Regions from separate parts of the Mus musculus genome. Here region 2 is reported to be linked to region 1. The links are microRNA targets in miRTarBase. Many come from high-throughput screens and were not tested one by one. Region 1 holds a microRNA gene; the other region holds the end of a gene's coding sequence.
What was found. Region 1 holds the annotated microRNA mmu-miR-29b-2-5p (CUGGUUUCACAUGGUGGCUUAGAUU, at 2,815-2,839, opposite strand). A microRNA usually pairs through its seed, bases 2 to 8, with sites in the 3' UTR of a target mRNA and lowers its output. Matches are read on the target gene's strand: a 7mer-m8 pairs with bases 2 to 8, a 7mer-A1 pairs with bases 2 to 7 and ends in A, and an 8mer does both.

Region 2: the mRNA of Tgfb1 is a reported target of mmu-miR-29b-2-5p. The part of its 3' UTR that is shown has no 7-base or 8-base seed match.

Annotation. Positions count from the first base shown.
Region 1 is chr1:195,035,625-195,039,888 of GRCm38, reverse strand. It overlaps Mir29b-2 (microRNA 29b-2), which reads right to left and starts at 2,849; the gene lies at 2,769-2,849. It overlaps A330023F24Rik (RIKEN cDNA A330023F24 gene), which reads right to left. Exons shown (of 8, transcript NR_015566.2): 8 at 1,981-4,264. Mir29c (microRNA 29c) reads right to left here and starts at 2,342; the gene lies at 2,255-2,342. It also overlaps a transcript of Cd46 not described here.
Region 2 is chr7:25,704,179-25,708,442 of GRCm38, forward strand. It overlaps Tgfb1 (transforming growth factor, beta 1), which reads left to right. Exons shown (of 7, transcript NM_011577.2): 6 at 1-100; 7 at 606-899. The coding sequence ends at 764. Among named protein-coding and RNA genes, the nearest start is that of Ccdc97, 13 kb to the right of the region's middle.

The DNA of each region.
Region 1 (4,264 bases):
GAAGCAAGACAACTACTTTTCCTTCATATTTCTGAAGCGTTTGTGTCTGATAGTACCTTGATTCTAATCCAGTGAAAATGTTATATTTCTGCTATTCAGACCTGTTAAGAATGTTGTGTGTGTTAAGATATCACATTTGTACTAATTTGTTACAGTACTGACTTGAAATTTATGCACTAACATATTAACTGGCAGCACATAACTATGACCAAAATAGTATGGTCTTTTCAGAAATAGAGAAGTGGCTCTCAGCCTTGGCTCTACAATAGACTCATCTGAGCCCCATTCTAAAGCCAGCTAAAATAGTATTTGCTTGCAGGAATGGGACCTGAACCTGAGGATCACTCTTTTGGTGACCAAAGCCACAGTAATGTGGTACTGAGGTAGAATGTGCCCCAGATCAAACACAGATTTATCTCCGGCTTCCCTTAAAAGTATGTTAATATCAATGTGCTATCTATTCCTGAGACTATATGCCAGCTTCCAAACAGAAGGCCTAGACCAACTTCTTAAAGATGCTAGGGACTAAACTTAATTCATTTGATCTACTAAACTGGTTGCAGATCTTTCTTCCCCCAGTTAACAAAAATACACTGTATTCACTTCTAAAAAGTCTGGTAAGGCTTAATTTTAAAAAACTAATGCTTTAACAAAAGTCTTTATACCTGGGTTGACAGCATGGTTTTATAAATCTGATTCAGGAGGGTGCTGTTAAAAAAAAACCTACATTACTAGCCAATTATGAAAAATTATCCCAGAGTGACAATTTTATGTAAAGGGCTATAAGCATCCAGATAAAAAATAACTGAGAGGTGTTCTGGTTTCAATTTGCTTCTCAGGACATCAGGATATGGCAAAGTTTAAGTATTCAATGAGAATATTATGATTTTTCTAAATGGAAATAAATTTTAAATCATTGTTTTTGTGCTTTGATATTAAATTCAACTTTCTAGCACTTAACTCATTAAAGAGCCAGAATCATGGCCTGGGGGAGTTTCAATCAAATTTTCAGTACAAATTAATTGGGAGCTTTGGACAGAGTAGCTATGTTTTTTTTTTTTTTAAAGACTTAATGTGTAGTTAATACCACAGACCCAATCTGTCATACTTAGAGGAGCTGCAGTCTCCTACTTTAGTGGGGTAAATTAAAAAATACAGCTGAGGGACTTAGCTATTCCTACCAGCACATCCTTAGATGTGACTTAGAACATGGATTCTTCAATCAAAGGCTTGAAATAGCTTTGCAGCTGCAGGATGCATCATAGTCGCTGGGAAGTCTTTCCAGCAAATTCTCCAACAGCCTCCCACTTCCAGCAAAATGGGCAAGGCAGCCATCTGGGGTAAGGCAACTGGGATGAAGGCTTAGAAGAAGCTTCCTGAGCAGCTGATTTGCCATTAGTTATTAAAACCTACTGGCTTGAAATAATTGTACTGCAGGTAGTTCATAGTTAGCTATGCAACTCCTATGGAAGGGGCCACCTGCTTTCTTCCTGAAAGTTCCCCAATCATGAACCCTGCCCCTCCACCACCCCCAATGCTGGCAAATCTCTGAACAGTTTTATAGAACTTTTTCACCGCCTACTGAAGGGTTGAAATAAACTATCAGTGGAAAGTAGAACTCCCTCTGCTACAAATACAACTGAAATTAGCCTGCTCCCCTTTAAGGGCCACATGACAGTGCAGTTAAGTAAGTTCCCTGCAGCAACTGACAGGAGGAGGGTCAGAGTCCACAGTTCCCTTGGAACCAAGAATAGTCTTCCCATTTAGTAACATCCCTCAGCCTAGAGCTCCAACCTTCTGTCTCTGCTAATCTTTCATCTTTAGAATTTCATTCCTGTCTTAATGACCTTCATTTTTAATGTCTGCATGCAGCAACCTACTTCCAATTCCTTATGATTGGCACAGCAAATTAACTTTCCAGGGACCACTTCTCATTGCCATAGAATTATGAATGAAAAATAGTAGATAAAACAGACATGATAGATTGAATGTAGCAAATTATTTATTAAAGCCAACGTTTAACAGTACTTAGTTTATAACAGTACTACATGTCAGAAATTGTAACTGAGAATATTTTACAACAATAAATTATAACAATTAAAACCCCCCACTAAGTGATCTCTAACCTTGGCAGCCACATACATACGAATTAAAGAAGTTAGGAAACTGTGATCTTCCTTTTCCACTCTGCCCACGTAGGAAGTGATAGGCTGATGCTGATGCTGACACCACAAGGTTCTGAGGCTGGTGCTCTTCCCCCTACATCATAACCGATTTCAAATGGTGCTAGACAAAAACAGACTCTGAACACCAGGAGAAATCGGTCAGCCTGTGTAAGAGATGGACCGACTGGTGGTGTTCTTCAGGTCTGAATCTCAAGGCAGGTGACAGTCTGATTTCAGCTGTGCTGCAACCAGGACTGAATGAGTGCTCCATGGATCTTCCAGGTTCAGACGAGCCATACTGATGTGAATGAAGCAGTCCTCCACATACAGAGCTCTTACCCCTTCCTTGCTACAATTAATGAACAGTGCAGGCCCAAGGAACCCTCTTCCACCCATGGAATGCTGAATAAAGTAGACCACTTCCTGATTATACCCTTATACATTCTGAACACAAAAACTTTCTCACTATCACTGCCTCTAAACCAAACAGACTCAAGAGCAAATGTCACTATTCAAGTCTTCCCTTGATTTCTCGAAGGAGAGAGCCAGTTCTGTGTACAGCTGTTCCTCTGTAGTCTACCCTCTGCTGTGCTGCAATTCTTACTCCTAAAACACTGATTTCAAATGGTGCTAGATACAAAGATGGAAAAATCTAAGCCACCATGTGAAACCAGCTTCCAGAAGAAGAGGATCTCACTGAAGAAAGCAGAGATGTGCAGTCAGAAGAACCAGCCTCAGCCCTGAGAATCATTTTGCCTGTCAGACGCAGATGACAGCCATACAGCCAACACTTTGAGCAGACAAAAACAATGCAAAGCTTGTTTCCTGTGTGACTTCACATTAGTCATTAGAAATCATCATACACAATGAAATAAAAGAACCAAATCCATTCAACATATGTACATTTGTAATGTCTTGAATTTATGTAATTTCCCAAGATGCATAGTGTCGGTAGATATGTCACTTGTTCAAGACAATGACAATGACCTATGAGATGTTAACAACTGAACCCAAGTAAGTCACCTGTGCCAGGACAACTCTTCCACAAGTATTATTCAAAAAGAGTATGTTCCTTCCTGCTCTCTATCCCATGACCCTGTAGGCTAGCAATTTGATTTAACCCCTAATGTCTTTTTAAAAGCTGGTATCTTAACACTGTATTATACAGATAACCCTCTAACACAAAACAAGGTATGTTTTAAAAATGTACCTAAAAATAAGATTCACAAGCTATGTTTCACATTGTACTGCATTTTTGCTGTATATTTCCTCTGATGTCACAACTGTCATCTTTGAAAGGAGACAAAGAGTAGAGCTGTATTTTTCAGGTTCCCCAGAAAAACTTTTTGGCTTCCAGATACAAGCATATTTTTTTATGGCTCCTGGCTGTTTTGGGGTAATAGAGCAAATATAATGTGAGTATCCCCAGAGTCACAATATTCAATTGTTCCAAGATTCCAGTGAAGTAGGTTATTATTCCGATGTCTGCACAAGAAACTGTAGTCACAGGATACGATGAGCTAATGTCTATATTCCTTTCCCTCTGCCCACTGTTGCTGCTTGATCCACAGCTTGACTGTGACCTCTTTTCTCTTGAACTGAACTCAGAGCTAGACTGGGGAGGGGGATTTAGCTCAGACAATCTGGATGGGAGACTCACTGTAAACATGCTATCCCTGGGTGAAGATGAGAACACATCGTTGGTACTGCAAGAGGTCAAGTAGTCTAGGAGGACCTGCTTTTGTTCTTTTGCCTCATTGGTGCCCCTTTATTCTTTCCAGCAATAGAGAAGATGATAGCAATGAAGCCTAGCAATGCTGACACTGACTTCTCAGAAACTGGGCCAGCCAGAGGAGAAACAGAAGGCCCAGCAGCCTCCCTGGGGCTTTCCAGGGCCTTAGCTGCAGATGAGTGCTGGAAGATCTATACACTGGGTTTCTGAGTGACACTGACATTGGTTGGCAAAATTAGAGCCTGAGGGTTAGGAACTCTAACCCATGATAGGGAGGGCTTTAGGTCATAAATAGATTAGATGGCAGTTATTAACAAGGGTCAAAATCCTGTAAATGAAGGGGAAGGTGAGATTTGCATATGATAAT
Region 2 (4,264 bases), not on the chromosome of region 1:
CCTGGGTTGGAAGTGGATCCACGAGCCCAAGGGCTACCATGCCAACTTCTGTCTGGGACCCTGCCCCTATATTTGGAGCCTGGACACACAGTACAGCAAGGTGGGTCTGGCTCATGGGACAGGCTGGAGCAGAGGCTGGGGTGGTAGGGAGAGAATGGGAAGCTTAGAGCAGTGGGGAGTCAGCGGGATAGGGTGACAGAGAAACGGAGAAGAGCAGGGGGGGGGTGCAGAGCAGAGCTGGAGAGATGGAAAGAAACAGATTGGGTGAGAAAGGCAAGAGAGCTAGTGATGTGGAGAGATACAGAAAAGGAGGTGGGGAGAATTGGAGATGGGAGAGTAAGTGACTGAGGCAGACAGGAAGAGGAGATAGGATGAAGAGAGAGAGAGAGAGAGGAAGAGAGAGAGAGAGAGAGGCCGAGATGGGGACAGATGAGGGACAGAGAACAATAGGGAGAGACATATATAGAAATAGACTGGGAGAGATAGGGAAACAGAGATGGAAGTTGAGGAGGCTCAGAGATAAGAGACAGAAATGTAGAGATCCTGGTGGGGAGAGAGATAGGGGGAGCCCCTGTACTCTGGCAGTGACCCCGGCCCACCCGCAGGTCCTTGCCCTCTACAACCAACACAACCCGGGCGCTTCGGCGTCACCGTGCTGCGTGCCGCAGGCTTTGGAGCCACTGCCCATCGTCTACTACGTGGGTCGCAAGCCCAAGGTGGAGCAGTTGTCCAACATGATTGTGCGCTCCTGCAAGTGCAGCTGAAGCCCCGCCCCGCCCCGCCCCTCCCGGCAGGCCCGGCCCCGCCCCCGCCCCGCCCGCAGCGCCCGGGGCTGTATTTAAGGACACCTGCACCCCCCCTCAAGCCCACCTGGGGGGCCCATTAAAGGTGACAGAGGACTGGTGGTCTCCGTGTCATTGGCCGCCGGATTGCGTCTCCCTCTTAGCTGACGCCCCTACCACATCTTGTCCCTTTCTGTGCAATCGCCTCCAGCACTCCCTAAGGAACGCCGGCTTTGATCCCAGAATTCCAGGGGGCGACGCTGAGGCCCAGGGAAAACCCTATTAGACTCAGGTATCATCTCTTTAGGCACCGTTCACAGTGCTTTATACCTCTGAGCATCCACGAGGCAATCCGGGAGAGCCTGAATTCCTGCTGGGATGAATTCATTTCTTGGATGATGAGTATATGGAAGAGCAAAAAGTGCTGATACAGTGGGTTGTGGTGGCCCCATGTGACAAGTCCCTGCATTCAGGAGACTGAGGCAGGCAGATAGATATAGCTCAGGCTAGCTCAGATATAACCAGGCTACTGGTTCAGAGTTGAGTGTGTGGTACTGAAATGCCTGCAGTGGGAAGGCAAGGGTTAGATAAGGAACTCTGGGGCTTCCGGGTTACATTAGACCCTATCCCAAAAAACCCCCAATTCACAGAATGTGGTGGCACAGGCCTTTAAGACCAGCACTCAGGAGGCTGTAGCAGATTGGTCTCTGAGTTTGAGGCCAGCCTGGTTTACAGAGCAAGTTCTGGATACACAGGACTACACATAGAAGAAACGGTCTCCAAAATACCAAAACACCAAATCAGTAGTTGGTGTTGGTGCTGACTATGTCACTGGGTGAAAGGAGCCTAGGGGGAGGGGGAGCCACAAGAAGGAAGTGGAATCAGGGAGTGTGTGTGTGTGTGTGTGTGTGTGTGTGTGTGAGAGAGAGAGAGAGAGAGAGAGAGATTCTTGGAAGACCGGAAGTGACAAGTGACAGCCATCTTGGGGTGTGCCACTGTGTGAGGAAAGAGAGCAACGTGACTGGAAGAGTCTAAGGGAAGGGTGTTGGGCGCTGAGTCAGATCCAAGTCAGCACAAGCCAGGGAATGACAACTCTCCTACATGTCAGGTGTGTGGCTGTCCTTGATCACAGCTTTCTTCCCACAGCCTGACAGAGCAGGGGCTGGCCAAGGTTGGCCCCAAGCCTCCTGCAGCCTGCAGCCTGCAGCCTGTTTCTGTAAATAAGTCCCGCTGGCTCACGGCCACACTCGCTGCTTCCTCCACATACTGTTTGGAGCCATGTACTGTTTCTGCAGCCTCGTATGCAGGGCCAGCAATATCACCTGGTCCTTCTGGAAAACCTGTGAAGATGGGTGTGGTCTGAACAGGCTGCCTGTAATTTGAACAGGAGGCAGAGGCAGGAGTATCATCACCACAAGTTCAAAGCCAGCCTGATCTACATAGCCCCCAGCCAAGCAGAGCTAAGTATATGGAAAACCCCTCAGTCCTTCCCACTCTCTCCAAAAGCTTGCTTATCCTTTTTGGGGGATCGTGTGCTCTTTACAGGAGGAAGTATTTACACACACGGAAGGTGGTTACTTCCTAAATCCACAGAACTTAGTTAGTTTAGCATCTGCACATGGATCTAAGACTGCTTTCTTGATCATATCTTGATCAGGAGTATGGGACCCCAAAAGAACTTGGGGGACACATAGCCTTACCAGATGAGCTAAAAAGCTGTATCCGAGGCCTCCATTTCTGGTAAATCACTGCGAGTTAAGTGAATGGTGAGGAACTCTGTCCTCAGTCACCCTGCCTCCTCCCTTCCTGGGGTTGAGAGAGAGAGAGAGAGAGAGAGAGAGAGAGAGAGTGCACATGCATGAGCGTATATGCATGCATGTGTCCTCAGGAAGATAAGTTACCCAGGCAAGAAAGACCGGCTGCCTGAGCCTAGCGAGTCCTGTGTTTCATCTCTTCCCATCTGCTGGGGGGAGCTTGTGAATTCTCTCCTGCTTCCTCTTTCTCAAGCCCGTTTCCTCCTTTCTCCTGTGTTTCACTTCCCCTACCCTCTGCCTTTCTCAGGCCCCCAGGGCTCCTAAACTTGCTTTCCACTCAGGGAGTGTCTGGGAGGGAGGGAGGGAGGGAGGCAGGGTGACTGAGGGCAGAGTTCCTTTGGTTTGAGGTTGACAGCACTGAGCCTGGAAGAGTGGGTCAGAGGCCTCCTAGTCTCGTCCCATCAGGGGCTGAGAGCCTCTGAGGAACAGGTTGGGGTTTGGGGCAGGACAAGAACATTTGTCATTGCCACTAGCTCTGGCCTGGCAGATACACAAACACGCAAGCAAGAACACAATCAGGATTGTAGTCATTCAAGGATTGCTGAATAGCCCCACTACCCCCAGCAGAAGCCAAAGTATGGACAGGGTCCCACAACTACACCAACACATTCACCTCTCAAGACTAGTGACATAGATTCTGACACCTGGCAGTCGACACAGACCACACATACAGACTATAAACAGTCCAGCCCTGGGCCCTCACAGGACATGACACAAGTAGAAAGTTTGATAGAAAAGGCCATCACATAAATATACATTATAGGGCCAAGCTTGCACCACATGCCAGACAGATTCACAGTGTCAAACACACCAGACACACATCACAGCATCAGAGCCCAGCTGGGAAACAGACTACTCCCCCCGGCAGTTACACAAACATCCTCCACGGGGTCATGGTCATTGCGTGACCCGCTGCAAACCCACTCATACCACACACGCCGGGGTTTCATACACGTCACAGTCCCAGCCAGACTACCAGTAGGTCACAGCTACTGTCTGACACTCTTCACACACACCCACTTGCCTGGGGAGTCCCAAGTGGCCCCACAGACCCAGACACAGTCACACCCAGGATCCCAGACTAGTAGCTCCCACGCACCCAGACACACCCCCAGGATTGCCGAGCCCTTATACCAGGCCTTCATTCCCAGAGCCTGCGGATATGACAACTGCTGGCTGTGCCCCATGTCCTGCCCACTGGTGACATAGCCCACCCACCTGCCTGTTGCTCCTAGGCAGGCCTGGTTGCTGGCAGGCCTGGGGGAGGGTAAATTGCAGGCTCAGCATCTCTGCTGCCCTGGCACTTGGGCTCGATGGGTGGCCTGACCCAGCACAGGACACATCCCTCCTACCCACCAGCATCTACCTCACACAGGACAGACAGGATACAGGGTTAGGCAGCTGGGGCACGGGGGAACTTGTGGGAGGGAGTCTGGGTTCCGCCTGGAGCCCTAGCTTCCCGTCCAACTTCCAGGGCAGGAAGCAGCCAAGGAGGCCTGCACAGGCCTTCCTGTCCCGTCCTGGACCTGCTGGGTGAGCGAGGGTGGGTAGGGTGGGAGAGGCAGGAACAAAATTTCCCCTGAAGCCTAATCTCCAGGCGCACACAGTACCAATGTGTTTTGTTTCCAGTGTGACCTTCTAGGTGTTCAGAGCAGCCCGTTCTTCCCC